Linked DNA regions of Drosophila melanogaster. The protein of the gene in region 2 interacts with the protein of the main gene of each other region in a pairwise test. Each region holds a gene or a part of one and is shown on either strand. Other genes may lie near its edges.

Evidence for each region.
Region 1: the proteins of Sbat (region 2) and Vlet interact in a two-hybrid assay, tested with the Drosophila melanogaster proteins (one study listed by BioGRID).
Region 3: the proteins of Sbat (region 2) and Hez interact in a two-hybrid assay, tested with the Drosophila melanogaster proteins (one study listed by BioGRID).

The regions. Positions count from the first base shown.
Region 1 is NC_004354.4:11,674,229-11,682,338, reverse strand, and holds Vlet (valette), read left to right. Parts: upstream 1-3,787; 5' UTR 3,788-3,904; coding exon 3,905-3,936; exon of another isoform or gene 3,937-3,989; coding exon 3,990-4,674; 3' UTR 4,675-4,995; downstream 4,996-8,110. Other genes in the region: bif (bifocal), read right to left, coding at 1-621, 1,225-1,486. UniProt on the Drosophila melanogaster protein: Scaffold protein in the commander complex that is essential for endosomal recycling of transmembrane cargos; the commander complex is composed of the CCC subcomplex and the retriever subcomplex.
Region 2 is NT_033779.5:2,872,283-2,879,501, reverse strand, and holds Sbat (sabbat), read right to left. Parts: upstream 1,159-7,219; 5' UTR 910-1,158; coding exon 544-909; 3' UTR 501-543; downstream 1-500. Other genes in the region: RabGGTb (Rab geranylgeranyltransferase subunit beta), read right to left, coding at 1-238; Prx6a (peroxiredoxin 6a), read left to right, coding at 1,365-1,638, 1,699-1,891, 2,113-2,314; CG8814 (uncharacterized protein), read right to left, coding at 3,140-4,114; Ifrd1 (Interferon-related developmental regulator 1), read left to right, coding at 5,830-5,866. UniProt on the Drosophila melanogaster protein: Auxiliary component of the N-terminal acetyltransferase C (NatC) complex which catalyzes acetylation of N-terminal methionine residues. May have an accessory function in the survival motor neuron (SMN) complex.
Region 3 is NT_037436.4:9,891,194-9,899,558, reverse strand, and holds Hez (hezron), read left to right. Parts: upstream 1-4,815; 5' UTR 4,816-4,888; coding exon 4,889-4,969; intron 4,970-5,026; coding exon 5,027-5,215; intron 5,216-5,276; coding exon 5,277-5,567; 3' UTR 5,568-5,778; coding exon of another isoform or gene 5,779-5,850; intron 5,851-5,904; coding exon of another isoform or gene 5,905-6,041; intron 6,042-6,094; coding exon of another isoform or gene 6,095-6,239; 3' UTR 6,240-6,371; downstream 6,372-8,365. Other genes in the region: CG46387 (uncharacterized protein), read right to left, coding at 391-828; CG6707 (uncharacterized protein), read left to right, coding at 1,504-1,630, 2,924-3,105, 3,171-3,380, 3,437-3,601, 3,683-3,799; CG6709 (uncharacterized protein), read left to right, coding at 5,779-5,850, 5,905-6,041, 6,095-6,239; CalpB (Calpain-B), read right to left, coding at 7,214-8,365. UniProt on the Drosophila melanogaster protein: May have an accessory function in the survival motor neuron (SMN) complex.

The DNA.
Region 1 (8,110 bases), on a different chromosome or scaffold from region 2:
CGACCATTGTCGGTTTTACCGTTACCTTTGTGGGCGACAGTTGCTGTTGTTGCTGCTGTTGTTGTTGTTGTTGCTGCTGCTGTTGAATTATAAACTTGTTGCTCTGCAATTTATCGGAAATACTCTTGGTTTTGCTGCAGCTTTTGCTGTTATCGACGATGGTCTCTTTAGCTGAAGGCTTGCCCTCAGCAACGCTCTGTCCCGGTTTGCATTTCGTTTTTAAATGATTTGGGTTTGGATTTTGATTTGCTGACGACGACGGCGATCCAATTGTGCCAGTTTCAACTTCACCGCACCGGCTGTTACTCACCACACCAGCCGGCTGTTCGCCGCTCTCAAGCTCTCCATCCCGTTCTCCACTCTCGCTTAGAATATATCGCACCATCTCCCTCTCCTGACTTCTTGTGTTGAGTAAACTCGATCGCTGCTTTGGTATTGGTGTTACTGTTACATTTGTTGTTGCTGCCGCATCGGGCGAAAGGGAGACGGCAACAACAGAGTGATGACCTCCAGTGGAATCGGAATTGGTATTGGAAATAGAAGATTTCTCAGACTTTTCCTCTGAACCGATCATGTTTCTCTTTTGACTAGTGCTACTGATTGTCGCCGGTTCTGTGAAATCTGTTAGAAAAAAAATTGAAGAAAGAAAGCAAATACAAATGTTATAAAGACAGAACATTAAAACATAACTTGGTTTTTTTTATCTTATTCGTCCGCAATCTGACAACTCTGTGAGCTATCGATAAGCGAATATCGTATCGATAAGCGAATATGTAAGGCGGCTAATTTAAAAGTATACTGGTATTGGAAATCGTAAAAGTTGGCAAAATGAATTAAAAACACTTGTTACCATTACTCATGGCTGGTTAACGCCAACTGAGCAATTGCAGATTGTGTAAGTCACAATTAGTCTTTCGCATTTTTCCAGTCAATATATTTCACCCTGATTACTATTTGCTACGGCAGTTTTTAAATATTTTAAAAACCTTTCCGAAGTCTATAGTTCGTTGAATTTATTTTAAGTACCGAACGGTATCATTTAAAAGGGATAAGTATGGAGCTCAAAAGTAAGTGCAATTATTTCGTTTGTCAAGAATGCAAGAAATAGCGATTAGAAATACGAATACTTGCACCTAACATGCCTTGACAGAAATGCTTGGCTTGAAAATACCTTTAATTTGCGTGTCAGGTGAAAGTATTCCAGTTTGTCCAACCACCACTCACCTGCAATTGCACCTGGAGCTGCGTTGGCTTCTGCCAAAGCCCCACAACTGCCATCGGTGGGCGAGGTGATGGACGCCGCCTGGGTGCGGGCCACGTTCGTTTTCCGGCGCTGGATGAGGTCCTTCTTCCACTGCGGCATGTCCGGCAGGAAACCGGAAGTGGGCGACATCTCAGCTGCAGCTCCCAGGCCAGATCCTCCAGCTGCTAATCCTGCTGGCACATCCGTGTGTAAGTCCAACGAAGGCCGCTTCTGTGACTCCATTATCCCCGTCTGCAATAGGCATTATTCGCAGCATTAATGCATGTCAGCCGTGTCCGCGGTGTCTGTATCGCAGTAGTATCCCCTATATAGTGTGGCACACTATCCAGCTCTACATCTCGACCCAAAGACCAAGTCTGGCGGACTGACTGGCCCGAAGCTGGTGCCAATTGCAAGTGCCCGGTGCCCAAGCTCCTCTACGAAGCAAAGAGGCGGGCATAGCCGACCCAAAAGATTGGCCAACCATGCAAATTATATCCAATTCAAGAAACTATCTCAAGATTCTCAGTTTACTCGACCAGTTTTCGAGATGAACCAATAAGTGAGGGTATAAATATATTCTAATAGACAAAAGTACTGTTTTTTCAATATATGTATATTACATGAGAAGGGGAGTAAATACTTTAATATACATTTAACAAAAAATAAGCTACGATAAACACAAGCTGAAAATGAAATATTTGTCATTGCAGCAATTATTTTCTGCTTATGTAGAAATTTTAATAACAAAGTCTAGATAAAAAATTGAATCATTTTTATAAAATCGCAGCCTGTAGAAATCTAAGTTAATAAATAATAATAATAGTTATGACTGTAAAACTCGCAGCTGTTAGCAGAAATTCTATTTCAACAAGTGTATGGTTCTATAATATATTTATAATTTAACATTTATCTTGGAAAATAAATAAGATGAATATCTTTTGAGTAGATAAAAGGTGATTTCGAATTCGTGGTGGCGATGGCATTTAGAGTTTTATTTTTCTTAATTGGATTAACTGCTGTTTTTACAGCCCGACAGCAAAACAAAACGTAAAACAAAGGTAAGAAGCGAAGAAACCCCAATATTTTTCCAGCATAAATATGCTAAACTGCCATAATGAGCGGAAAATGCGATAAAACCGAATATAGAGAGGAAAATAACGGAAAAGAAAAGCGGGGAAACTGAAACCAAACGATTCTTTTTATTGTTTGGCTAAAATTGATTGCATGGCTAGATTATTGCTGTTGGAATTGGAATTGTTTCTGTTTTTGCAGCTTTGCCTTTTGCATGCCGCGATAAAAAGTATTATTTTTAATTTCCCGTATCAGGCGTATGCATGTGTCTGTGTGTGTGTGTGTGTATGCATCACACGACTCCGCCGGAGAGAGTGTGAGTGTGTGCAAGGGTGGCTGAAAAGGGGAGAGCGATAAAAAGGGGCTGCAAAATGCAGACGAAGCATAAAATAAACAACCGACGACGCGCTATCGATTTTTACGGCATGCTGGAAGCACCAGCACACTGATACACACAGTTTGCAGAATAGGGAAATAAACTGGAAGTTATGCTATGCCAAATTGAGTTTTTTCAACAAAAATTCCTCGCAGAGAAACGCGAAACGAACTAGTGGAAGACTAAAGAGCCGGGTTTTGTTTATTTACACAGGAACAATACAATCGCACGCAGCCAAAGACACACATACGTATACCACATACACATGCATATATCCCGACGCACTGTTCCGTTAGTTTAGTTGGGGTTTTTGTTTTTCTCGGGCTTTCGCTGAAACCTTAGCTTGAAATCCTTACTTTTAAGATGCTGACTATTTTTTATAATCGGTGGTTGGTTTTGCTTCCAATTTTCCGATCCCGAGTTCCGTTTATCATCCGCTCCGCTGCGCCTGTTTACCCCGCTTTTACACTTTTCCGTTTCGCTGTAGCTCAACGAACTCGTCGCTCTCCTTGCTCCGCGCACTTGTCAAGCTTTCCCGACTGCAACTGCACTCGAACTCGGGGCGTGGGTGCACTCGCTGCGCCTTAAAAGTGCATCTTTCGCAGCCGAATCAGCGGAAAAATCTGCATTAAGTTAAGCCGCGTTTCCAATACACAAATACTGCTTATCGATTGTTGGCGCTATCGAGCGGAGCATCGATAGGCATCAGCGGAGTTGCCAGGTAGGACGATTATATTAATGAGTTGGAAAACTATTCGTACTTGATAATCTTCTACAAATTGAATCGTCGATCGTCGGTGCCGTCGACAATCTGGTATTGATATTTGCTGGTGCGGCTTTTTTTCACGAATTTTATTTTGCAGGAAACATAACAGCAAATATTATTTAAAACATTGTAATTTTATAAGGTAAATTATTCAGGCCTAAATACAGAAAAATAAATTAATTTAATAAAACATTTAAATCTAAAAAATTAATAAAGAATATGTTTAAAATCACATCGCAAAATGTAATATTTTTGTATTTTAGTCAGCACTTACCGTTATTATTGGCAGTAGTAACTGTGTGGCAGCACCGCACCGTGGCAAGTCGATAGTTTTTTGTATATTGTTGGTCTGTATAAACAAATAATATTAAAGTCATAATAAAAGAAGTGCTGGTAAAGACTTAATAACTCTATGTTCCTTAAAAATTTTTAAATATATCTCACAATGAGCATTAACTGGATAAAGATCACGGAAAGGTATGTAATATCAATGTTCTTATAGAGATTAATTTCTTGCATTTATATCTTAGAGCCCGTGAGGGCATCAAAATCATCAATGCCTTGCCCTACGAGACCTTTACGACGGTTCTGTTCTACACCCACCGGCAGATGAGTCCCAGCGTAGCATCGGCGAGTGCCACCAGTAGTACAGTGGGCACCAGTGTGACGACCACCGGCCGGGTGGACAGCAGCACCGAGGAGAACCCCACAAGTAACACCGAACCGGAGTACACACTCGAGGAACTGGAGCGATTGGTGGGCGTACCGCGTCAGGACTTCCTGCTGCTGATCAAGACCTTCTCCTACATCCTGCGTCGCATCTCCACGTTTATCATCAAGCCAAGTTTGCTGCAGCGTGAGCTGCGCGAGAAACTCCAGCTGGAGGATGAGGCCAAGATCGATGCCATATTGCGTTTGTGGGTGCGCGAAACGACGCCCATTATGAACAATTTGGCCAGCAAGCGGTACGAATCAAATGTCATCGAAGATGTGGCCTGGAAGCTCAACATGGAGATCTCCTCGCATTGCCAGCAGCGGGAGAAGACCCCGCTGGCCGTGCTCCAAATGAAAACGGCCGTCGGCGAGGATATCAACATCGAAATGACACAACCGGAACTAATGGAACTGTACAATCAGTTCGAGAGCATCCAGGGCGAACTGGACGCCATGCTGGCCATGAAGACTACAGGAGCAACGGCGCCTGGCAATCAGTAGTGGGACGCCATCGACCAATTCCAGTGCCAATTTTATTGTTGATTCACACAAAACTCTGTGCAAAAAGATGGACCTAAAAGTATGCAATACTAACACGATCGTAGCCAAATGTTAAACACGTTTTTTTTTGTTTAATTCAGTAGGGTTTTTCCTATGTTCTGGCTAATTTTCCGAACGTAGCCAAATTTTTACTAGAGTAAGAGTTCGGCTTTGATTTATAAAACGTTGCAATGATTAGGATCTTCCAAACAGGACTAGTTTTTAAGTTTTAGAACTTACCCTCTGCAAAATAATAAATCCTTTAATAAATTTAGATAAAACAATGTGTGGCACATTTTACAGTACACTTTAATGGATCTCTGCATGCGTTTTACTCGTCTGCTCCACCTCGGATCATAATTCTACTGATAAACATTACAAATTATTACAATGATATATATTTAATATATGTCTATATTGTATATGCATATGTTATTCATCGGCCTTAGTATGCGTGTGTGTGTGTATAATGGAGTCGTATATTATGTATGCATTATACAGACTTTCTAGTTTCATCTTCTCAAACTTTTGCATAATTATGCATATGTATTTATTGTTATTACGGGAGGGCGGGGATTTTGGGTTGCTTCGTATTCAAATTAGGGGCTTCGTTGTATTTTTCACTAATCTAGAAGCAAAACGATTTCTATTGCACTCTTTCACAGTTCGGTTAATCATTTCAACTAAGTTTGGACAAAATACAAATGTATGCAAATTATTTGGACTACAATTTTCATTAAAATGTATTGCTATTGTTACATTTAGTTGTCGTGTGTGTAGGTGTTGTTATCATTTTTCCTTTTTTGCTTTGGCACCGGCTCCATTAACTAGCCCTTAACTTGGTTGTTAGTTAGTCTTCAGTTTGCGTGGGATTCTGTTTAATTATATTGGTTTTTCGTGTAAATGATTATCGCCTTTCGAAATGCGTTGGTCATTTGTTCCTGTTGTTCTATTTGTGCTGTCTGTTTTTGAGTTGTGTTTCCATATGCACTTCATTTCAATTTTGTATAAATAAACCAATAAATAAGTTCTTTCGGGTTAGAAAATTTAAATGATCATTTACGCAAGCACTTAGAATCGAGCTAGGATAAATAAAATTACACAGTGTTAAACTATTTAATATATACAACAATTTTATCGATTCAAGCTTGCTGAATTTCCTTTCGCTGTGAGTAACATCGCATGCCGATTAAATCAAGTGAATATGGAAACACGACTCTTTTCTCATTGTGTGTTTATGTTTAAACATTAACTTCGGTGTTTTTCATTACTTTCTGCTGATTGGATTGATCACCAGAGCCCGCTGTATTTGACCTATATAAGTAATAAGTGTGAGCGCCACGTTCAAATGAGGAGAATGCAAGGTGGTGTTCGATTTTTTAAATAAAAACTTGATATAATTAAACAAAAATCAATGTAGCACATACATACACAGTTTACGCTTTGTAAAAAGTTACAAAAAATTTAAACACAAAACAGACATAAAAAAAAAAATAATACGAGAAACTAAAAATTGTACACTACATCTCCGACGGTTGCAGCAAAATGTTTTAACATTTGTTTAAAACTATGTAACTCAATTATTGCATTGTGTTTTTGTGTGAGTGTATGAGTGTGTGCGATTTATAGTTAGTTTAGTTTAGATCTAATATTAGGTATATGTTTATCAAGTATTTATATATATAATAATATAAAAAAGTAAACATTTAGCGCTTTTAGTTTGCTACAAAAATTTGCTCGTCTCGCTCACATATTTCAACTAACATTAGGTGTACAAAAAAATTGGAAGATATATAGTTTATATCAAATTGTGGCTAGCGTAAAAATACAATCAGTATTCCAGTATTTAGTATTGCCGTCGGTTTGAAGCGGCAATTGCGGTTACATTGTACGCCGATTCCTCGTTATCTTAGATATATATATCTTTATATATATATAAAATGTATAAATTGATGCGTGTTCGTTCTGTTTGGCGAGATTGCTGCATTCCCATTCGATAGATCGCGGTGTAGAGTATATATATATATATATATCCAGTAGTATCCAGTGTAGTACACATATATCCAAGTATAATATCAAGCGTTGATCCTCCTCCGCGCTCTCTTCGCACTTCGTCCCTTAAGTAAATAATAATGTAGTTGCCACAAGATGGTTGGGTTCTGTTGGGTTGGGTTGGGTTTCCATTCGGTTGAGTTGAGTTCAGTTGCTTGGTTGGCTGGCTGGCTGGCTTGGATTGGCTGGAGTATTGGGTTTTGGAATGGCTTTACATGCCCGACTCTGCAATGCCCTCGTCATCTGAAAGAGAGTCAAAATGGCACGGTTAGAATTGTACGATGAGTACAAAGCAAAAGCTTAGCACATGCACGGGGTTAGAAAACCATAAAGGTGGCATACAATAAATGAAAGTAACAAGTAATCATGCAGGTAAATAAAAACAATCAGGAAATATACAAAACATCTACGGAATGTGGCCATAGTGCGTTTCACGGTGAAAACTTTCAATTTAACTACACAAATGACATATATTTACAAATATATTGTTTTGCCCATGAAATGCACCTGGATCCACTCCTCGGGATTTGCGTAAGTATCTACAAACCCATAAACGGATTGGCATAGATGATGCCGCCGCCAGCCTCGGAACCAACACCATTTCCCAAAACACCACCACCGTTAACAGCGATTCCACCGCCGATTGCAGTTCCACCTCCTCCCCCGCTGACCACTAGTCCGCCGACTCCAGCGCCGGATAATCTGGATGCCTTGCTGAGTTTCGTGGTGGAATAGTCGCCATCGCCGACCAGCGTGGCTATGTCGTCATCATCGCCGTTCCGCGTGTTGCAACTGCTGCCGAGCAGTTGATCGTAACAGCTAACGTCTGTGCTGATCACATCCACCTCGATGTCGTCGTCATCCTTTTCCAGACTATTTCGATTACTGCCCCCCAGCGAGGAGTGCAGGGCATGGGAGTCCTCGTAGCTGCCGCCACCGCTGTCATCGTTGGCATTATTCGACTTGGTATCGATGTGGGTCTCGAACTCATCGTGCATATACAGCTCCTCATCCTCGTCCTCCTCTTCGAGATCCTCTTCCATTTCGTGGGGTGCAAGTTCACCATCTTCGCCTACCTCCACACCGATTTCCACTTCCAAAAGCGAACGACGTCGCGTGAAGACCTCGTCATCTTGATGATTGGATTGCTGACTGTGGTTTTGTGGCAAGATCATTACATCTTCCTCGGCGAAACTTAATCGGACATTGGCGCGACTGGCCCGATTGCTGCCTGGACCGGAACCGGAACCAGAACCGGAACTGGGTGGACCATTAGCTGCCGATCCATTGGATCCATTGATGTACTCATGACTAAGACTGTTCTTGATATCACAGGATGACGAGC
Region 2 (7,219 bases):
TGCGCTCCAATCGCTCCAGCTGGCCCATAATGTCCAGGGCAGTGGTGCCCCAATAGATGCCCGACATGCGCAGAAACTCGGTCATGCAGTACTCGTAGTCGTCCTCCTGCTTCCCATGGTTCTCGATGTACTCCACATGCTTCCAGAACTGCAGCTTCTGGCCGCCGCCATCCGCATCACCACCACCGCCGCTGTCGCCACCGCCATTTGAGGGCTTTACGAAGGTCGTGAAGTCCATCGCTGATTGGGCTCAATTGAATGAGTATCGGGTGGCTGGCAGATCCTCTTCGGCGCGCTGTTTCGCTTGATTAACTCTATTAATTGGCAGGAATAGTGCTGCGAGCAAACAAATAACTCAGTGAATCCAATCGAGCACAGCTGATTCATCTGCGCGATGGTTGGCAACGCGGCAGTGGCTTATCAAACAGCTGATCGACGCAGGGGCGTAGTGTGGAGGGGTTTACTATAACCCCATCCAAAAATAAAAATTAAACGTACTTAAATTTCAAATAGCTAGTTTATTTTATTCAAAACACATGCACACTATTGCACCAGCAGGCTGGACTGCGGATCCGGCTCGTCGATGCTTAGGGAGACTATGTGCTGGCCGGGAACCATGACGTTGCCCAGCAGGCGCGGCTCCTGGCCCTCCACCAAGTACTCGGCGCACATGGACAGCACGATGTTGGCGTCGCGGTCCGTGCAGTTGAAGAATCCCACCAGCACGCGTCCGTCCGTAATCACGATCCGAAGAACTCGACCCAGCCACTTCTGGAGCTTCCTGCGTCCCGGCGTCAAACTGGCATCGTTCATCTGGTGCGGGGCGTTCGTTGTGATGCGGAAGGGCTCCGGTGGTGTGCATGCGGGCGGGGGCATCACCTGCTGGCCAGTGATGCTCAGTTCTGTCATGGTTATATCCTCTTTGCTCAATTTAAACAAATAAATGCAAGAAATTCTCAGCTTTTTTTGTGTTTACACTGCGCGTATGTGTGATATAGTGTGCGTGTGTATGAGTAATGGCCAGGGATGCAAGCACGTGTAAGTGGTTCGGTTCACTGGTTCACTTTTTGAGCTCATAAATTCGAAAATATACGAAACACTCGTTTGCTTGTGTCAAAGAAAATACTTTAGATTTAAAACACTTAAAGGAAATGATTGCAAAATGAATGCACACAATGAGCCTTCTTTTTAACATCTTCATACGAAAACTAGTTCTTTTTATATTTGCATCCCTGGTCGAGCTGAGCTTATAAAGGTAACGGGCACCCTAGCCCAGTCAGCTGATTTGCATTTTGCGGCAAATTTTGTTTCGCATTTATCCAAAAAGCTCGTAATTCGTCTCTTGATTTTTTCAAATATCCACCATGTCCGGAAAGGCTTTAAACATTGGCGATCAGTTCCCAAACTTCACGGCTGAGACCAGCGAGGGTCGAATCGATTTCTACGACTGGATGCAGGACAGCTGGGCCATTCTGTTCTCCCATCCGGCGGATTTTACGCCGGTTTGCACCACGGAATTGTCCCGGGTGGCGGCATTGATTCCGGAATTCCAAAAGCGTGGAGTCAAGCCAATTGCACTGTCCTGCGACACCGTGGAGTCGCACAAGGGTTGGATCGAGGACATCAAGAGCTTTGGCAGTGGGTTTGGTCACTGATTTCTGGACAGGAATCGCTTCTAATTGGCGTTTCTGTTCGCAGAGCTGAGCTCCTTTGACTATCCCATCATTGCGGACGACAAAAGGGAACTGGCGCTCAAGTTTAATATGCTGGACAAGGACGAGATCAATGCCGAGGGCATTCCCCTCACCTGTCGCGCCGTTTTCGTGGTGGACGACAAGAAGAAGCTTCGCCTGTCCATCCTGTATCCTGCCACCACTGGGCGCAACTTTGAGTGGGTATTCCAATATCTAGCATTCATCATTATCTATAAAGTAATGCTGTAATGCACTTTAGCAAACAATCGTGCACTTAATCGCATTAGCAGATAATTATTTAATGAAGTATTATTGCTGAAAACTAAGTACTAACCTTGCATATAATAATGGAAGTTAAATAGGAACGATTTCAAGGTCAATTAATCCGACAAATTACATTTAACTATATCCTTTGCAGTGAAATCCTTCGAGTGATCGACTCGCTCCAGTTGACCCAAACAAAGAGTGTCGCGACGCCGGCGGATTGGAAACAGGGCGGCAAGTGCATGGTCTTGCCCACCGTCAAAGCCGAAGATGTTCCTAAGCTCTTTCCTGATGGTATCGAAACCATTGAGCTGCCCTCCGGAAAGAGTTACCTGCGGATCACTCCACAGCCCTAATGGATGACAAGCGTGCGCTCTCACTTTTTTTTTGCTTTATTACAAAAATTATAATTAACAACAAATAATGCACAATAAAGTATACGCTTACAACCGTATTTTCAGTAGATCGGCGCTTTCAGGTGGCTAAAACTCGCCTTCTGCTGGACAAAATTGCCAAAACATTCGACTTACGAACTAAATCAGATGGGGAATGTGACAAAAAGGTCGCGATTTGTGTGTACGAAATAAATATACATTCAATATACATATATAGACGTGTACAAAAGGGGGTAGAGATATTGCAACTGGATAACCATGGGGGTAAGTAAGGTATAAATAAGGCCAACTCTGTACAATAACTGAAGCGCTTTCTAGGATAGAAGAAAGCTAAAGACCAAGCTCGTGCCCGTAACCGAAGATAACTGAAAGGAAAATGTTTACATTGGATTAATTTTGGTGGCACAAACAGTATAAAGTTATTTGTAATAGTGACCATTCATTTAAACTAATAATTGGAAACACATGTTACTGATAATTAGTTTAAACAGTGGATGCTTGAGCACTTTCCCTTGCCCAAATACTCACAAGATATATTCCACAATCTGAGTTCGCATAGAGATCGTTACCTTGAATATGTTAATGAAATGCAAATATGTACAAAATAATGTATGATGTAAAAGCTTTCGCTACGAAACAGGTTCCCTATGCTCTTAAATTCTCTTGACTGCGGGAATACGTCTCAAATATAAAGTGGGAATGGTAACATATGCCTTTGTCTAGTTGCGTTGTACTTACAATTTAACTACCACATGTTCCGCCCTCCGCAAGTATAGCTTTCCTGCGTCAGTGCCTGCGCTGCGGATTGGACTGAAGCATCCGCGCGAACCGCCTCACCAGGAAAGGCCACAGGATGAGGACGGCAAACCAGAGCGGGGAGATGTTCCTGAAGGGCCACCAGGCGGGCAGTGATCGTGGCTGCGCCACCGTTCCTTTCGCTGCCTTTTGGCCGCTGCGAAGTTCGTTGAGCGACTGCTCCAGGCTGCGAACGCGCTGCTGCACTGCGCCCACATCGCTGTTCATCCGTGTGATAGCAGCCTGGATTTGACGCAGCAGGTCCGTGTTCTGGCCAATCGCCTGGGTCAGCTCGTGGCTGAGATCGTAGGGATCGTCGTACTCATCGTCCGAGGGATCCACGATGGCCACGCTGCTGTTGCTCGTAAAGTTGTGCGTGTCATGTTGTGTGTAGCTTGCTGTTGGCTTAGGTCCATAGCCATTGGTCAGTGGCGGCGAACTATGGCCATTCTCCTTAATCGTTTCGGATGTGGCCAGCGGTGCGGTGCTAGTCGCCTGAGGTTCCGGCTCCGGTTCGCCATTACAACTGGAGCCGTGCTGGGGACTGTTGGTGCGCGAGTGGAACGGCGAGTTGGGATGCGACTCGGCCAGCTCCTTCATGCCGGGCGAGACCAGCTCCAGTTCGTCCAGGCTGATGTTTCCCAGACTATCGAGGCTGCCCACAAAGTTCTGCACATTCTCCGTGAACGACATGGTCTCAATGATCTCCTGCAGGCTCTCCACATAGCGCTGCATCGCCTCCTCCTTGGTCAAGTGACGGTTATCGTTCCATGCCTGCCACTTGGCCTTGCCTACGATGTCCCAAAAGCCGGGCTTCTTGTCCACATCTGGTCTACCCTCGGTGGCCTGTTTGAACAGCCCGTAGAACTTGAGCATCATGCTGGTGCTGGGCTGGTAGGGGCCATTTTTGGGCAGACCCTTTATCACATTGACTGCCGCCTGGAAACGCTCCTCAATCGCCGCCATACCTGCAAGATTATCCCGCGATTAGCCAGGGCACTCGATCGATAAGATACACAGGTACGAAGGCTGCCATATAGAGGCGGTGCCAAGTTCACCTTGTCCAGGTGAACGTCGCTTACAAATTACCTAATTATTGTGTGCAATCCGCGGTGTTGCAAACCCCACTTTCGGCTCCCCCTTTTGTTGTTGTCGTTCGCTATTGATTCCGATTCCGAATCCGAGTCCAAATCCGCTGCTGGGCATTCATGAATTTTTGGGTGCGACGTTCGTGGATGCGCTGCTGTGGTGCCAAAGTTCGAGTTCTGAAGTCCAATCTTCTGAGCTTCGAATCGAATCGAGTCGGCTGGAGCTTTTTCTTAGTTTGGCCCCCGTTCTTATCGACCTCGCTGAGGAATTGTTGTGTGCTGCGCCAACCGCTGTCGTTCCAATCGAGTTGCAATCAAATAAAACTAAACAAAAACCCGAAAACTCTCTCTGCAAATCGCTGAGCGCGTACGTGTGAGTGTGTAGGTGTGCATGTGTGCGGGTGGCGCAGGGCTGCAACGAAAGTATCGATACAGGTGCAGAGTGGAGATGATATTTTTGTGAGCGCGAATATCGCGATTTAAACAAAAATAAGAAGTTTTTATTGTCCATAAATAAAATTATAAATTAGTATTTTGCGGAAAAGCATAGGACCAATCAATGAATTTATAAAGTAAGATTATTTAGTTTTATTTATTTCCAGCCACATTTAATTATAGGTAAATATAGGTATAGTAGGGTATAATAGGTATAGTATAGGTATAGTATAATTATAGGTATAGGCTTTATCGAAAGTCAACTATCGCATGAGCGCAGACTTCCATCTTCCATTGAATATACCGCTATTCATGGTATTTTCCAACGTTCGCGCATACGGTCACTCACTTTTTCATTTCGTAAAAATCAGCAATCGAATTAAGTGCTTAATTATTTGCATTATTTTTAGAGCTTTCCGAAAGCTGCCAACGTAAAGTCCGCGAAGCGCCTTCACTGGCCGAATCGGAAATAGCAAAATCGAAGCACCAGAGATCGAAAGACAGCGCATTCGATTCGATTTCACAATAACTGCGAACCGAGGGCGGAGTGGGAGTGTCTGCCAGCGCGGAGAAAAGTGAACGCATTGCAATTAAACATGAAATTTGCTGCAACGTCGACGGGAGTACGACATTTTTGTATTATCAACGCCAAGCAGCAGAGCCATCAGAATCAGCAGACTATATATAAGATACGGCCGCAAAAATCGCGATCGGAGTTGAACAATTGCAAACGGCAAAGACAGTCGTGTAGAATTGCCAAAAATTGGAAGCACCAAAGTTTTTGCATAGGTGCGTCCTGATCGGCAACGTTTCGGGTTAGAAAGACAAAGATTAAAAAATTGACAGCTCGGCTCAAGAACGCAATTTAATTTCCTAACCTAGAGCATCAAAATCAATAAATCGGAACCAACACGTGCGTTTCAGTAGTTGCCGCCAAAGCAACGAAAGTGTAGACATTTTCGCCGTTGTGTAGACTTCGACGCCTGTTCTCCACCTTTTGAGGACCCAGAACAGGAAAAGGACACTCGGCTACAAAGCATCTGTTTTTTTTGTGTTTCGTACCTTGTGTTTGAAACAGTAGGCTAAACAATAGAAACCAAAACGTCGTCGTCGAGTTCAAACAGCAAAATACCTGAACGACGCAAAAACAACAGCAACATGCCGCGACGCAACAAGAAATCAGCAGCAGGCAGAGGTGAGTCACAAAGAAAAGAGAGTGTGTGGGTGTGCACAGAAAAAAAATGCGAGGTTGAACGTATCCAAATGCGTATAATATATCTATTGGATACGAGTGTGAACTTCCAGCTGAAACAATTGACTTTATAGGCTTAAAATTAGTTATTTTGCCTTTAGTAGCAACATTTTGGGTTTAATTACCATCTTAACCTCATGGTTTTCTTGTTTTTTACAAAATAAACGAATTAAATCGCACATCTGAACAATAGACTTAATAGTATATCCCCACAAAAGCCGGCGAGGGTAGGTGAATTTTCACAGCTGCTTTTCGTTTGACCTTTGCATTAGTCATGCACTGACTAATGAGTACCGTGCACTGTTTGGTGTATTTCGTTGGCTTCCAAACGAAGGAAGCTTCGCTGCCTGCAACCTGTTTGTCAATACCCTCGAAATGAAATAATTATTTTCGTTTTGTTGCTGTGCTGGCACCAAAAGCTTCACGCGCTCAGCTGGCTGCGCAACAACAAGTAATCAGCGGTTCACTGAAAATATATATACATACGTATACATATGTAAATTTATACAGCTTTGCCCACCAATAATAACAATATAACCATAGTAATTTTGACAAAAATTCCAAATTATGTAATATAAAGTTAAATAGCTGCATTTCACCAAAGGAGGAGGTTTTAAGTTTCTGCGTTGTTTCTATGTTGAGCACAACTGTATATAAATATAAATATACTTGTTCGTGGAAAAACATACGTACACATATGTATATGTATATGTGTACGCTCAATGCCAGCTTATCAGAATCACGCCTATAACCGAATACCTCAGTGCAGGGTATCAGTGGGTATGTTTTCGTAGGGCGTATCAAATTATGTATTCTATTTAAGTGCTCTATTATGCTAAGTTATTATTCAAGCTGTACCTATTTATATAGTTAAATATCCGAATTGGTATTTATAGGCTCATCATACAATCATTTACAAATATTAAATTTAAAAATAAAGAAGCGGAAGTTGTGGCTCTTCGGGGAACTTTCCTCGCATCTAAGTATATACCTCATGGGTGACCTAAAAACTTACGCAACTTTGTGTTATGCATTAGTCGCTCTCAAAACACAGATGGTTTACTCGCCCGAATCTAATCCAAACAACTTTCAAGCAAAACCAGCTGTTTTCCACTGCTTTTGATTCGTTTTTCTAGCCCGCAGTTACCGCATGCTTTTGTGTTTGTAGTTTGCTCGCAGCTTTTGTGAAAGGCAAAACAAAAAAAAAAAAAACACAAAAAACGAGGCGGAAACTACCTTGCCCCAAATAGAAAGCTGAAAACAGGCACTGGGAAATCGCCACAATGAAAGTTGTGC
Region 3 (8,365 bases), on a different chromosome or scaffold from region 2:
CAGCTGCTGCGGCAACAACAACGAAAACAACGAGGATGATGGTGATGAGCAGCAGCAACAACAACAACAACAAATAGCTACGACGAAGTTTCCCATACAACAACGCACTGCATGGAAATGAAATCATCGGTGATTTTTTCGTAGAATTCCAGTGTTTATACCTAGAATTTTATACAGCACGACTGTCCACATTTACTACTTACACTTTGCACTTAATTTTGCTACGTTTTGTTTGTTTTATTTACATAAAATCAGTGTAAATAGTTATGCTCGTAAAAATTTACCACTACTCCAAAAACGCACAAGCCAACCCTGGCTTGGGTTGCCAGTGTTGGCCAATAGATGGGCATTTGCCGTTTCCAGCCCTGGTCAACAGTTGTTATTTGAAATTTAATCAACATATAAAGTTTTACTCGGCTTTTTTTTGCGTTTACGTAGTTTTCTTATATATTCCAAATCATATTTCTCTAATGGACGTGCTGTGAACGTTATCGATTTGTTGGCCGGCGCATCGTTGCTGGTATCGTCCGAAATATGAAACTCAGAGTCGGAACTATCTTCAATTATTTGAGCTGAGCTTAGTGTTAAATCACGAGTGGAGCTGGGAGTTTGTGGCAGTGCTGCAACATTTTCGCCAACTACGCGCATGGGCAGCGCATGATAATGATATGATACATTTCGACAGGATTTGCGGCGTAGTTTGTGTTTTCTGCTTGTTTCAAAGTCACTTGAACTTGTGGACGTGTTATCGTCCCCACTATTTGAGCCTTCCCCGCTTACAGAATCCTTATTGTCAATTTTATTGGAGTTTTTCGTGATTTTAGACATATTTGTTTTAAGCCGCGCTGGATTGTTTTGGTTCCAAAAATGAACAATTTTTCGCTGATCTGTTTCTGGTTCTTTACCAAGTACAACGATGTGGCAACTCCCTGGCAGGGCCGCAACTGAAAAATCTCAAACGGGACATCGTTGCCAGATAGCTAGCCAGAGTGTGGCCAGATCGCAGCGACTGCAGTGCATTTTCAACAAAAATAAGGTAAAATATAGCACAATTATGGCCAGCAATTGTTAAACAATTAACGCAATTGCCAGTATTATAACCAAATGTCAACTGTGTGAGTGCGACAATCGAGCTCGCGTGGGCGTTGCACATGCAGCATCATCGAATTGATTAATTGCGGCGCATGCCGAAAAGTGAAAAAAGGGAGGATGTGTTTCAATCAACGCGAGTGAAAACCGCGACGAACGAAGAAAAAAAAAACCAAACTACTGCGGCAATCGTGAACAAAGAGCTCGTTGCGTCCGAAATTATGTGGCACAGCAACTAAACTATTGGATTTCCCACTCATTTTCCAGTTGAAATCAACGCGTTGCAGCAGCCCCCGCAGCAACAGCAACAACAAAACAAAGGCAACTGGAAGTGCAGCCTAACGGGAATTGCTCCAGCATATAGAGATTATAGTCCACACATATAAATATCCATTTATCGGAAGATAGTCCACAATGGCGGATCCAGAGCGACAAAGCCTGATCAACAAGGACGACGGCAATGGCTACAATTCCGTGGACGCCGTGGACGAGGGTGCCGATAATCCCGGCAGCAACTCATCGGTGGCCACAAACGAGGACGGTGCGTATCGTTACTGTAAAGCCGGGCATTCAACCCGCATCCAATCAGCCGGGCGGGCAACCCATTGGAAGCCCAACAAGTGTGCGGGCGCTCCACTTATCCGGATCCAACGCCGTGATTCCGAGTTGTCTGCTCGCCGTCTCATTTGGCATTTTCACACTTCACCCAACTGAGTCATAAATGCGTGTGGTTTGGTGCGGGGGGAGAGCAATGGGACTGCACAGAAAGAAAAACTGATAGGATATGTGGTGCCCAAATGCCATTTTAAATTATCTGCCATTTTTTTATTTTTTAATAGGGCCCAGTATTATTGGTATTACCAAAAATTTACAACCTAATATAAAATTTTCTTATTGGCCTAAATATCAAATGGGCCACGTACACCATAAAAAAAATGTAATTTTATCACGAAATTGTGAAGAGCTGCCAAAAATGTAAAGATCGATTGTAGTTAGTTACTCGACGCCGGTATCGGCAAAATTTTTGCACCGCCTTTGTTATTGTTTATGCTAGGACGCTCGTAATCAGCGCAAAAAGCGTTCCCCACAGCTGTTTAATCAGCATCGATTCGGAGGTGTTGCTATAGTGGTGGTTAAGCGGGGGCAGTCAATGAGTCCATGAGTCATCATGTCATTCGCTGCCTTATCGCAATACAGGGCGAAAATGAGGGTCTGCGATGAGCAGTGGTTCCATTGTTTACCAAGGAACCTGATCTTCAGCTCGGAAAAAGCTTGTCCATATCATTAATATATACAAGAGTTTAGTTACAAGGGCTTTACGACTTTCCATGTTCCCAATTAATTTGCATAGGTTATCTTTCTGTATTCCTTTCTTTTTGACATTATATATTTATTTAGCCAAAGTAATATGACTTTATTTGCAATTTATCCACTTCATATCAATTTTCCTAAAGAGTGTGTGCGATGTTACTCTTTGCGTTGTTTTCATTTAAAAACGTCTTTCACAAAGTTCGAACTTGTTTTGATCGAGAGACGAGAACCACAACTGCGGTCTAGTTGCACTAGTTTAATGCTTGTACGAGAAAGCTGCATTCATAACGCCAAAACATTGACCCATTTGGTTTATCGCAGCTTCCCAGAGCCACACACTGCACACTATCAGAAAATGCAGTTCTCACTCCCTCCATGAGCCAATCACCGCCAGATGAGCAGTGTGGTTGAGCGAACTCTGCTGGCGAGATGTATTTATTCTACACCAAAGGTCTCGCCTTTGAAGGGCATGGGTCTTAACAATATTATAAGTAGTTAATAATACTTTGCAATGGAATTTTAGGCAATGGAGCACCGACCGCAGTGCCTTGCATTGGACCCGATGAGCTGCCGCCGCCGTATCAGCAGAGTACCAACACCGGAGGCGTCCCGATGGTCACCTGTCGGGTATGTCAACACATGATTGACATCACCACGAAGCGGGAGCAGCACGTGGTCAAGTGCACCCACTGCAATGAGGCTACTGTGAGTAATTCTAAGCAGATTCTTTGAATCCAATTGTAACTTAATACGCTTTTGGCTATCAACAGCCCATTCGGAACGCTCCAGCGGGCAAGAAGTATGTTCGCTGCCCATGCAACTGTTTGTTAATCTGCAAGAGCTCGTCGCAGCGAATCGCTTGTCCAAGGCCCAATTGCAAGAGGATCATCAACCTGGCCCCAAGTCCCGTCACCCCGCCCGTGCCAACCATGCCGGGCATGTGCCGCGTCACTTGTGGCCACTGTTCGGACACGTTTTTGGTGAGTTATTAATCCAAATCACAGCAGCAGGAGTCTTGTAACGCTTGCTCTTACAGTTCAACACGTATCACAACGCCTTGGCCCGGTGTCCACACTGCAGGAAGGTCTCATCGGTGGGCTCGCGCTTTGCCAACAGCCGCGCCGTGATGTTCGCCATCGTGGCGCTGGTGTTCCTCATCACAGGCATCGCTGTAACTATCGGCACATACTCGATTGCTTCGGTAAGCCAAATCAATTTAAAATCAAGCTGAAGTATGTGATTTTCTAAACCCATATGTGTGTTTCCTTTTGCATTTTTCCAGGATCATGGTGGCATGTACTTCCTCTACGTGGCGCTGTTCGTGATTTCGGGTTGCATGCTGGCCAGGTCCGCCTACTATTTCCGCCTTAAAGTGAGCGCCATCGATGGGCCAATGTAAAGCTAAAGCACGGGGCCAGTAGCAAGGAAGAAAGTGCATTGTTTTATTTTTATATATATATATTATTCATATATATCATTCCTTTTGATATTAAATTTAAAACTAAACACAAGCAGCCAATTTGCAGACGGAACATATGAACATTTCTCCAGCAGTTCAGCTACATACAAAAATTCTTCGTTTCGAGCAAAACTAATAGCAAACCTAGCTAAATTTACGAAAGAAGGTCTCCCCGTTGAAGAGCATAATTAGGATATTAAGGCCGTAACTAACTAAACACTATACTAAAAGCGAATATTTCAAGGGTCGCCGTGCAGCTACCATTCAAGTGCTAAAAGTAAAAAAGGAAAACCCCGATCTGTGTTGGCAGTCATTAGTTATTAGACCAGCGACCGATCAATCCACAGTGCATCTCATTTTTAGAATCGTCAGGATCCATTTTAAAGATTGTACAGTTTCGTTGTTTAAGTGTCCGATTTGTTATCCGTTCGTGCCTGTCCTGCAAGATATTTCGGTATTCATACATTACGTATTCGTTGATACGCTTTTGAGTTTTGTGTTGCCTAAAATTTAACCAATGCACTTTTTCTCAGTTCTCGCCAAAGCGGAGGAAAGCGTTTTGTTGCCTGGCGTTAGAAACAATTTGAAGGGTATGCTAATAGTGCTAATGAAGGTACATACACATACGCGCATATACAATACCATAAATACATAATTATAATGCAAATAAACAAAGCAACATTTCTTGAACAACAGAGAACAAGCAAACGCTCATGCAGATATAAAGAAAATTAATTTAGACAGCAACTGCTAAACTGCGAAATTGCATATATATATATGATTAAAAGGAACGGTTTACTTTTGAAATATATATATATATATACAACAACATTTATATTTAGTACATTATAAATTAGCATACATACACTGTAAATAAAAAGAAATAAAACCACAAGCACCACCAACTTTTTGGCGACAAAATGACAAGGCTATGAAAGTAGAATAGAGTGCCTTGAACTTGACATCGGACATCGGCTGGGATTTTCGATTTCGATTACATTTTTAAAGTTTTTAAGTTCCTTGGCCAAGATGTCATCATTGGCTCCTTGCTTTACTGTGGGCTCTATTGTGCGCTGCAAGACTTGTTTTGGCGACAACATTTCGGGCGAGGTAAAACTAAATATTATTTATTATTTTTATGATTATGTAATGCTTTCAATTTCCCAGGTTGTGGCCTTCGATCTGGGCGTGAAAATGCTGATAATGAAGTGTCCATCAAGCAATGGCGGTGGCGACGAACAGACCACTTGCAATGTGACCATTGTGAACCTATCCCTGTGCATGGACATTGAAATAGTAAAGGAAGCAATTCCGCCGGCTGAAGTTCAACAGCCAGAACCGATTGATTTGCCCATGGTAGAAGCACTCTCTATATAGATATTTAAAAGAAACCCCATTCAACCATTTGCAATTGCAGATCCGAGAACGATACCGATACGCAACCGAACATCGTACGCTCTCCTGCCGGAGCTATCATCCCAATGCCTCGCCCTTTGGTCAAGCTCTGTTCAGACTGTTAGTCAAGCGATTCGGTGATCCCGCTATCATCTGGCAGAACAAAGGCGACCAAGTGGCGATCAATATACTCCGTCAGGTGGTCATCGATGCGCCGTATGCCACGGAGAATATCCGATACCTCGATTGGAATCCCAAGCTGGCGATATGCGTCCAAGAGGTCGTTCAAAACTTTTGCAGTAAACAATTCTAGAACGATGGCCCGTGCCCATGGCAACAGTTGTCTAGATAGCATCCGATTCTCTGTACGTTTTGTTTATCAACAAAACAATTCAAAATACACATACATATAGCCATGACACCCACACAGAATACTGCTCTTTATCTGCCAGGGGAAACCATTCTCGTTTGTACAAATTCGATTTAATACACTACACCACAACACCCAACACACATAATACACGATGGCCGATGATGAAGATAAACCAAAGAAGCACACGCTGGACAGCCTGTTCTTGGTGTATTCCAACTTCCAGGTATGATGAATGACCCGGTTAATTGAAGAGTAATTTTCATCTAAATGATGCCAGGTCATACCCACCGACATCGAGAACGAGTACTTTGACAGCATACTCCTCTCGCAGTTGGACGCCTGGCTAGAGCAGGCCAAGCTCATGCCCAATCCCATAACTCGAACTCAGACCGGTTTAATATACATGCGATACAAGTGAGTAACTACATCAAATCTACATATCATTCTTAATCAAATACATGTTTCAGGAAATGGCGTTTGGAGTACGAAGACTTTCTCGAGGTCCTAAATAACTTGGCATCCGATAACAATCTGGCTATAGATGAAATGAAGCAAATAATGATCGATGCTGGCGTCCCGAATGGTGCTGATGTAGTTATAGTCGTCAAGTAGATTGAATCATCACTGCATTTTATTTATATGCATACAAAAAGTCGGACAACAAATTATTAATAGTAACAATTGCATACAAGAGTAACTTTGATTAATTCACAAAAATTATAGTAAAATATAAAAGCATCCAACAAAAAGAGCCTCTAAACCCGATTGGTTAATTTCAGTTAGTTAAACACTTATTTTGACATAGAGGGTGCCTAATTAAGGTATGTTTTGAGATTACTGATCTGAAAACTAAATACAAAATATATGCGTATTACATTTTTTGATGTGATTCAATAAATTGACTGATATTCTGAAATTCTGCTTAAGCTTATAAATATTCGATGAGTTGGTTGGCTTGTTCGCTTCGCGTTACTTTCCTGATAATAATAACAACGTTTGTTTGGGTAACAGAGTTTGGCTGGACTTATTTCTAGCACCTGGGCAAATATGTGGACTGCTCGGAGCTAACGATGTTACAAAAATACATGCTTATTCATTCCGTATATCTAATAAATATTGTCGATGCGTTCTAATGGCTTTCCGAGCGTCTCATAGCGATTGTAAGGTAATAATGCACTGTTTGTACTAGTAAATTTCCGGCTCTTGACGAGGTGCATGGAGTGGATTTGCTATTGATGCTTGCTCTTAGTCATCCCTCCAGTTGCGCAGCATGGTAAAAAAAAATCTATAGCGTTAATTTTTTGAATTGTGTATGCGGGATTTATACTGTTTACCGTGCATACTCGTAGCAACCTCGTGCCGTTCCAAGGCCACTCCAATTTCGCCACATGATTTGTATTTCCGGATATGGTCATATAGATAAGATTCTCTTGTTGGCTCAGTGAGTGTATCTCTTTGCATCGCCGGATCGCATTGTCATGGATTTGTGTGTTGGCTTTCTCATTTGAATGCATGAATAATATGATGCACAGGTAGATTAAGTATACGTCGCACTTAGGATTAGATTAGTAGCAATTGCAAGTAATTTAAGAGTAAATTGTTCGCTCCAGCCAGTCGTCCAAGTTGAAGAAGGCCGTGTCCGAATTGTCCGTGTCCCGTTCGCGGAACATCTCGATGAATGTTCTAACCTTGATGGCACACATCAGGAAATCGTCGAATGGTATTTGTCCCTCCCGCGATCCGTAGCGATGGGCCAGGGCGTTCAGGAGCCGGTTGTTCAGATGATAGCCAGCCGAATTGAGTGCTCCGCGCAGATGGAATCCATCAATACTGCCAGTGCGACGGGTGTCATATAGCTTAAAGACCGCCCGCCACTTGGCAATATCGGTAAGCAGAGCTTCGAACTCCTCGAAACCAAGGCGACCGGAGCGATCCTTGTCCAGCATGGCTACCATCGAACGCACGGCATCCTTGGAGAAGCCATCACTGCCCACCATAACATCGCGCATAGAGTGGTCCAGGATGCGCTTCAGCTCCTGCCAGTCGACTTCCTCATCGCTGCCAGCCACGCTGTCGAACAGACGACGCAGTGCAATGCGCTGCGGATCATCCTCCTCCTTTGGAGTCGGTGGCGGCAGAGACGGAGCAATGCGATCGTCGGTCTCGCCAAAGCCAACCTCATCGTCGTTCTCCTCCATATTGTTCCTTGTCTCCGAGAAGACGCGAATAATGAACTCGCCCTCCTCATTCGGATCGAAGGTCGATGGAACAATCAGGTAGTGGCCAGGTGGCAACTTAAACCGGGCGCAAACCTCGCGCGTGTTGATAAAATGTGGTGAACGCGCCACCGATGCTCGGTACTTGAAGAAGTTGAGTCCCTGGGGCTTCACTTGCATGTCACGGTCTGTGAGATGATATATAGCAAATCCGATGGTCAGACAGTCGATGCCCACGTTGCGCTTGCTACGTCGATTCTTCTGCATAAGGGCCACAATAGCCGTGCATTTGCCATCGTCATCCTCGTCGTCGGGATCCTCCAGCGAAATGATGTACTGCGGATTGTGCCAGAAGGTTTCCAGGAAGTTTCTGCAACCGCCGGCTGTTACTCCCGATGTCCACTCACCCTCGAACATGGACATTTCCCACTTGCGGCGAGAGCTGTGCTGCTGATCCTCAGTCAGCGAGTCGGGCGACAAATTACATATCTCCACGCGATCAAAATGATTGAGGAAGTCCTG